2 linked regions of the Cricetulus griseus genome follow. The main gene of each other region encodes a partner of the protein of the gene in region 2 in a complex. Links are inferred from orthologs where the notes say so. Each region holds a gene or a part of one and is shown on either strand. Other genes may lie near its edges.

Region 1 (4,228 bases), on a different chromosome or scaffold from region 2:
GCCAGTGTGGTCTACAGTGAGATCCAGGCCAGCTAGAGTTACATAGTAAGACGCTGTCTCAAAACAACAACAACAAAATAACAAAAAAGCCCTGAAAACCCATTCAAGAAAAATCTATCTTTGTTTCAATATTAACCAGGTTGGTAGGAAGAGGGTGAAGCCTGAAACCCAGATTAAACTGTTAATAATATGTAGCACTTCCTTTGGGGCAGGCGGTGTTCTATGGACTTGACAGGTATACATCAGCGACTTCTGGAGGTACCATCTCTATCTAGACCATCAGCTGTTAGAAAAGTTCTCTGTTACTGGTATAAACTACTCTGCGGCGAGGAACGCAGTGTAGCTCAGTGGTAGAGCGCTTGTCTATCCTGCTCAAGCCCGAAGGTAGACAGCACTCCTCTCCCTGGGCCACAGTGTTTACAAGCAACACTGTAAAACTGTTTGCAAGTTAGTTCGTGTCCCAACTCTTATCACCTACAATAACTGACTTCTAGAGTTGAACGGAAATAAATTCTGTATATAAAGATTCCACTAGGAAGAATACAATTTCTACGAAGACAGATTGTACCAGTGTCGAGAACCTGACCTGGCACAGAGGCAAAGGGAACTTTCCAGAGGTCCTGTGCATGGGAAGTCGCGCTTGCAGTCCTACGTGGCTTAGCAAAACTCGGCGGATCCGGACGATCTAACACTCCCGCTGTCAGCAGACCTCGATGCTAGCGGACCGGTCCCCAATCTCCCTATCGCCCTCTCTCAAGCGATCTCCCCGAACCCAGCAGAAACCACCTATCCTGCATTCTAACGAAACCGTGGAGACCGTGGCGCTGCCCATAGCTCCGGTACCCCAAAGCCTGGCACCCGAAGACAACGGGGGTCAGAGGCGAGGAGCCCATTGGAGCCGTGGTGCGTCCCACCCGCCATGCGGCTCCTGCAGAAATCCAGCTCGCAGTGCCTGGCAGCCCCACCAGAGCAGAGGCAGGCTCCCTTCTGCGACGCGGAGACTGGAAATACCTGCACTTGAGTTCCCTTACCTGGTCCCAGAGGGATGCACCCTGAGACAGCCACCAGGTTAGCGGACTCGGAAGGTTGAACTGGAGTACCTCGGCTAGGCCGGGGACCTCCCCCTCACACTACGCCCCCTTTCCTGACCAATCACAGGCCACAGGCTCCCGCCGGCCACGTGGGCGGTCTCGTCCCTCCCGCTGGGTCGCATGCCAGCCCGCCCTGGCCTTCCGCCGCTCCCAAGACCGCCTGCGCAGTGGGCGAGCGCCTTGGCGCGCTTGCGCACTTTGGGTAAAGAGGAGTAGAACCCCGCCCCATCCCGCTGCTCTGCTTCTCCGCTGTGCGTGCCAGGGACGTCAGGGGCGGCGCCGCAGCAGTTACCCCTGGTAACGGGGGAGGCAGAAGGAGGAGGAGGCGGAGGAGGAGGAGGGACTCGGCTTGAGGATGGTGAGTGTGGGGGCCCCCGATCCCTCTGGAGCTGGCCAGTCACCCCCCACCACACCCTCGCCTCCTGTCCCCAGGCCCAAGGCAGGGCGCTGCGCTTAGGGGACGTAGGATGGCGCTCGCCTTGCTCACTAGGGTTCTAGATCGGTTTCGGGGGCGAAGGGGTACCCCAGAGATGGGCCCTGGAGAGAGGCCTAGGCCTGGGAGGAAGGAGGGATTTGCGATGGGTCCGAGGCTTGGGGAAGGGACTTGCAGAATGCTTGGCTGGCGGGGAAGGAGCCTGGGCTCCATCTTCACTCCGGGCACTGGGATGGGATGAAGGCGGCTCCGGGGAGGTGAGGAGATCAGGCCAGACACACAGGCTTAGCTCTTGCTGCAGAGTCGACTTCTCGGCGCCTCGGGACCGTAGGATCCGTCTGAAACCCGGACAGAAGTGGCAGAGGCGCGATGCTACTGTCTTTGAGATCACCCTGGCGGCACCAGGGAGATGTAACCTAGTTTTCCTAGATGCTCGCCGTCTCTGAGTGAGGTGTGCTGGGACCAAGTCCCAGGACAAAAAGAGATGCGGCTGGGAATGGATGCCTGATTCACGTCTCCGTGGTGGGTGCGCTCCTGCTGAAAGTTCTGCAGGGTCTAATGGTTGTTGATGAGCGATTTTTCTTTCCGTATCTATTTCATGTTAATAGAAGCAAATTAGCCTCCCGTGTCTTAGCATTTCCTTCAAACTTGTTGCAGCGTCCTTTTGCATGTGGCCGCACAAAAGGTCTTCCTTCCAGTAAGGCACCTCAAACTAAAAAGAATGAGAAACTGTTAAGAGTGGGCGTCAGTTTGAAGCAAGCCTTCTCTCCGTTAGCCATAATTATAAGGCTTTTCCAAATTGCAAGTTACGGTATGTGACGGATTTAACCGGGGACACTCCGTTCCTTGTTGATTTTTTTAATTGTTATTTTATTTAATGTGTATGGGTGTTTAGCCCGCATAAATTTTTTGCACCACGTGTGTGCCAGGAAGAGGGCTTTGGTCTCCTGGAATCGGAGTTAGAGATGGCTGTGAGCCAGCATGTGGATGCTGGGAAGTGAACGCTTCCTCTGGAAGAGTGTCAGTATTGCTGAGCGACTATCCAGCTCTCCTTGTTGATTGGTATGCTGTAGATAGAGAGTAAAAAATAAAATTAAGGGGAAATGAAAACTTTTAGAGTTAGTCAAAGAAAACTTAAGGCACTTAGAGCAGGTTGGTTGGCTTACTGACTGCTATGAACCAGTTTCTTTTGCTTCCCCCTACCCCTCATTATTTTTGTGAAAATACTGAACTACTTCTGTTGTCTTAAGAAGAGAAGGCTAGGGTATAGTTCAGGTGGTAGAGGTTAGTTTAGCAGGCACAAAGCTCTGCATAAAACGTAATATGGTAGTGCCTGCCCAGCACTCCAGAGATGGAAGCAGGAGCTTCAGGGCTACATAGTAGCCAGGCAGGCAGGAGTAGGTACATGAGACCTGGTCACAAAAAAAAAGAAGAAAATAGGTGTCCAGGAGGAAAACGACACTACACATCTACTTTTGGTCAGTTTTGTGTGTGTGTGTGTTTGTTTTTCAAGACAGGGTTTCTTTGTGTGGCCTTGGCTGACCTAGAACTAGCTCTGTAGACCAGGCTGGCCTCAAACTCATGGTCAAATTACTAAACAAGCAAATTTTGACCAAAAAAATAAATAAATTTACATTGTCAAATTGTTAAGTAGAATTATTTAATCTAAGGTTGTCAATCACATCTCACACTTGTTACATTTACAGTTATTTCTAACCTCAGGCTAAACAGATTTTAACAAGTGTTTTCTTTTTATTATTTGTACATGAGCTGTCCATTTACAGGCTAAGTTTATCTTAATAAATGAGTACAGATATAAATATTTACACAGAAAATAAATGGATTTGAGAAAGTGGCCATGGCTTCTCACACCTATAACCTCCCCACTTGGGAGGTAGAAGGAGGCGGGTCAGGAATGCAGAGCCAACCTTGGCCACATGAGACTCTGTCTCATAAGAAATAGATAAATTTAAAACTAATGAAAATAATTAGAACTGCGATTTGAAAGGCATACCGGGCTGGGTGTGGTGCCTCATGCTTATAATCCCAGGACTCTAGATGCTAAATTAAGAGGATCACCATGAGTTAAGAGGCCATCCTGGGCTACAGTTAGTTCCAGGTCAGCCTCAGCTACAGGGAGACCCTGTTCCAAATACCATTCCCTTAAAAGAAAGCCACATGCCAGACCAAGAGAAAATGAGATTTCTTATAGATGAGAAACATCAGAGTTGTCTATCTTTCTTCAGTTTATCAATTGAGTGGACTGTTTCATTTCACAATTGCTTAACTTATAATTATAGGTCATAATAAGTAAACCACTGCACATGTTTCTAGGTGCAAATTGGCACTGTACATAAGTATATAACAAATTGACCTTGTACATATAATATTATTGGATACCACTAAAGTATTCAATGCTCAAGAATAAATCTAAAAAAAAAAAAAAATTGACATGTCTTAGTGTTTTGCCTGAGAGCATGTATGTGCACTCTGGGAAAGCCTGGTTCTCAAGGAGGTCAGAAGAGGGTGATGGATCCCCTGGAGCTACAGTCAGCTGTGAGCCACCGTGTGGCTGTTGAGAATTGAACCCCAGCCCTCTACAAGAGCACGTGCTTTCTTTATTTTCTGTTTTATTTTCTATGTGTGAATATTTTGCCCACATGTGTGTATGTGTACCACATGACTCTGTGATACCTTCATAAGT
Region 2 (2,886 bases):
CAAAGCATGTTTCTAAACTACTATATACCCTCTTCTCTGAAATCACCTGACAGCTCACAGCTTACTTGCTCAAGGCAGCACAGCCAGCCTGCCGTCTTATCACTGCACTTTCCTCTTCTAACACTGTTCCTTGGGCCTTCTATAGCCCTATTAAAGCGGGACCCTGTCAGTCTAACAAACTGTGTCTAGTAAGAATGAAAGCATGCACTATCAACTAATTTCTTTCTGTGACCCCCTTTGAAGAGAAAGCACCCAATTCTTTGTTTTATTATTTCTTTATTTGAGTTATTTGAGACAGGTCTGTGTAACCTAAGCTGTTTTCCCCATTTGCTGTGTCACTGAGGATGACCTTGAACTCCTGACCCTCCTGTTCCAGGGTCCTGGTACTAGTACTATAGGCATGCACCACCATACCTGGTTCTATGCAGAAATTTCTGCCTTTCCTCTTGCTCTTTACCTGTTTAAAATAATAATAGTGAGCTTATAGTTGCATTTGCTTGAAACTAACAGTCTTTGTTTAAGGATTAAATAATTTATTTTTAAGAAAATGTGGGCTTCTGTTTTGCTATCTCTTCATATTACTTATTAATAACTTCTTCTTTAAGTTTCTCTGCAAGCAATCGCCTCTTTAGTAATGTTTGTTTCTCCTCTGCTGTCATTTCTGGCTTCTCTGTCATTTCCTTTAAAAAAAAAAAAAAAGAAATTGGCTACAATTAAAAATTAGCTTTGTATATCTAAAATTCTCAACATGCTCTCTCTAAAAGAACAAAAACTAAAGGCATTTTCAGTAAAATGTTTAAAAGTCAACAACCAAGTTTCTTAGATCTCTTCCTGGAGAAGCATTGGGAAGCATGGGTTATGAGCAGAACACTGCAAACATTTGAAATGGTAAGACAGACCACTGATTCTAAGGAGCTCAACCTAGAAAGTCAACAAAAATATAATGAAATAATTATTTCCACCTTAGAGAATTCTCATTTAAACTGTCCCGAGAGAAGACTTAGCAGCTGTTTCACTAGCAGATGATTAATTTGAGTGGATCAAGCAACAAAACTCATCGGAGACTTTCTTGCACAAACTAAAAACTTTTCCCCTGGTCTGCAATTAACACATTAAAGCTAGCCATACCTCCACCTCCCTGGAAGGCTTTCCTTTTTGCTCAGTATTCTGGATCTGTTTTGCCCTCATGTCCTTTCTCATGGACATCAGCTTGTCTCTCTTCTGCTTGAGATAGTGCTCTCGTTGCCGTAACTCTTCTGTTCCAAGTGCTGACAAATTCTGGTTCAGATAAGAAAAGGAAATATCTATATTCAGATCTATACAACACATGACAAAGACATGTACTGGATCAGTTTTAAGTTCCAAGACCCTAAAAAAGACAAAAGTGTATGACTGCATGGCTCACAGTGCTTGCTCACATTAAGTTAGCTCTTACTTACTGCTATTGGTCCTTCCATGCTTGAATGTTCTAAACCAGGGATCTTCAGACTTTTTTGTGGGAGGGAGGAAGTTTCAGGCAACAGCTCCATCTTTCTTGCCATGGGTTGTACTGACTGATTAGCAAAATGCACTTTAACTTCTGGCAGTAAACAGTGAGACCAATTAAAATATTATATTTTAAAGAACAACACTATTATGAAAAACATAGATATTTCACAAATAACATCTTTGGTTTCCAAACTTGCTTCTGAGTATGTGACTATACACTTGGGGAACAATTTTGAAACTGATTTTCTATCATACAACACTAGCTGTCAACAGCAATGACTTGTTTTCTATTACACTCTAAAAATAACTACCAATGCACTAAGAAAGTATAACCATTTCTAAAGCAAGGAGAAACTGCAAAGCACATATAAGCATTCAGTACTTTGTTAACTGTACCTTAAGGTATGATTAATATTCTAGCTTCTTCTGTAGTCTATACCCTACAAGCCTAGCAAGATGACTCAAAAGTTTCTCATGAGTTTGATCCCAGGACCCACATGGAGGAATGACAGAATCAACTCATGCAAGTTGTTCTCTCTCTCTCTTTAGTTTTTTGAGACAGGGTTTCTCTGCATAGCTTTGGAGGCTGTCCTGGGACTCACTCTGGAGAGCAGGATCACAGAGATCCGCCTGCCTCTGCCTCCCGAGTACTGGGATTAAAGGCGTGCGCCACCAACGCCCAGCATGCAAGTTGTTCTTGACCACACGCACACAGACCACAGTGGCACATATACATGTACATATATATGTATACACATACACACAATCAGATCTCTCGGTCTCTCATGTACACACACACACATAAGTAAATCATCATTCTTGATGGGTGGGGCTTAGGAGATGGTTCAGTGGGAAAAGAGCTGAGAGAGACAAGAACCCTATTCTGGGTCCCCTCACTCATCTAAAACGCTACGCCTGGCAGAGGACATCAACCCCAGAGACAGACAAATGGATCTCAGAGGCTTGCTGGCCAGCCAGCCTTGCCAGTCATTAAATTCTGGGTTCAGTTAAGAGACCCTATCTCAATAAAGTGGGGAGCAACAGAGGAAGTACATAAGCCACACATGCACACTAAAAAATAAAAGGTAAAAACATTTTTAACTTAAGTACATGGGCTATGAATGAAAACAGTAAGACATGGAAAGACATTAAAATGATAGAAGTAAAATTATGAGAAAAGACCATGGTACATATCCCAAAGGATTAATAATCCTGCCAGATATGTATAACCAGACAAACTTGACAAGGGTCACTTTTGTGGTACTGCCACGGATACTAGAAGAAATCCTTTGCAGACCTCCATAAAAAGACAAGTTAGGGTGGCACTGCCAAAGAGTCTAGGCAGAAGCAATAGAACCTAATAAGTTTAAACAAGCTGTTGCCAATATTGGGATTAAA

What was found. The genes of interacting proteins can lie anywhere in the genome.
Region 1: the proteins of Cfap36 (region 2) and Arl3 are in contact, whole or in part, in a crystal structure (PDB 4ZI3), measured with the Mus musculus proteins. The link is inferred for Cricetulus griseus from reciprocal best matches to the Homo sapiens genes CFAP36 and ARL3. Residues at the interface, in NP_080016.1 of Mus musculus: Glu44, Glu45, Ser46, Lys47, Leu48, Thr51, Glu52, Lys58, Val61, Glu62, Leu65, Glu76, Phe79, Gln80, Cys83, Thr84, Ala88, Lys89, Leu97, Val100, Leu101, Ala103, Glu104, Asp105, Phe106, Thr107, Ile108; in NP_062692.1 of Mus musculus: Leu3, Leu4, Ile6, Leu7, Arg8, Lys9, Leu10, Lys11, Ser12, Arg19, Lys35, Glu40, Pro47, Thr48, Gln49, Gly50, Phe51, Asn52, Ile53, Lys54, Trp66, Ile74, Tyr77, Ser80, Tyr81.

What each region holds. Positions count from the first base shown.
Region 1 is NC_048596.1:14,998,116-15,002,343, forward strand, and holds the start of Arl3 (ADP-ribosylation factor-like protein 3), read left to right. Parts: upstream 1-1,294; 5' UTR 1,295-1,446; coding exon 1,447-1,449; intron 1,450-4,228. UniProt on the Homo sapiens protein: Small GTP-binding protein which cycles between an inactive GDP-bound and an active GTP-bound form, and the rate of cycling is regulated by guanine nucleotide exchange factors (GEF) and GTPase-activating proteins (GAP).
Region 2 is NW_023276807.1:78,070,541-78,073,426, reverse strand, and holds the end of Cfap36 (cilia- and flagella-associated protein 36), read right to left. Parts: intron 1,580-2,886; coding exon 1,440-1,579; intron 1,279-1,439; coding exon 1,129-1,278; intron 681-1,128; coding exon 579-680; 3' UTR 513-578; downstream 1-512. UniProt on the Homo sapiens protein: May act as an effector for ARL3.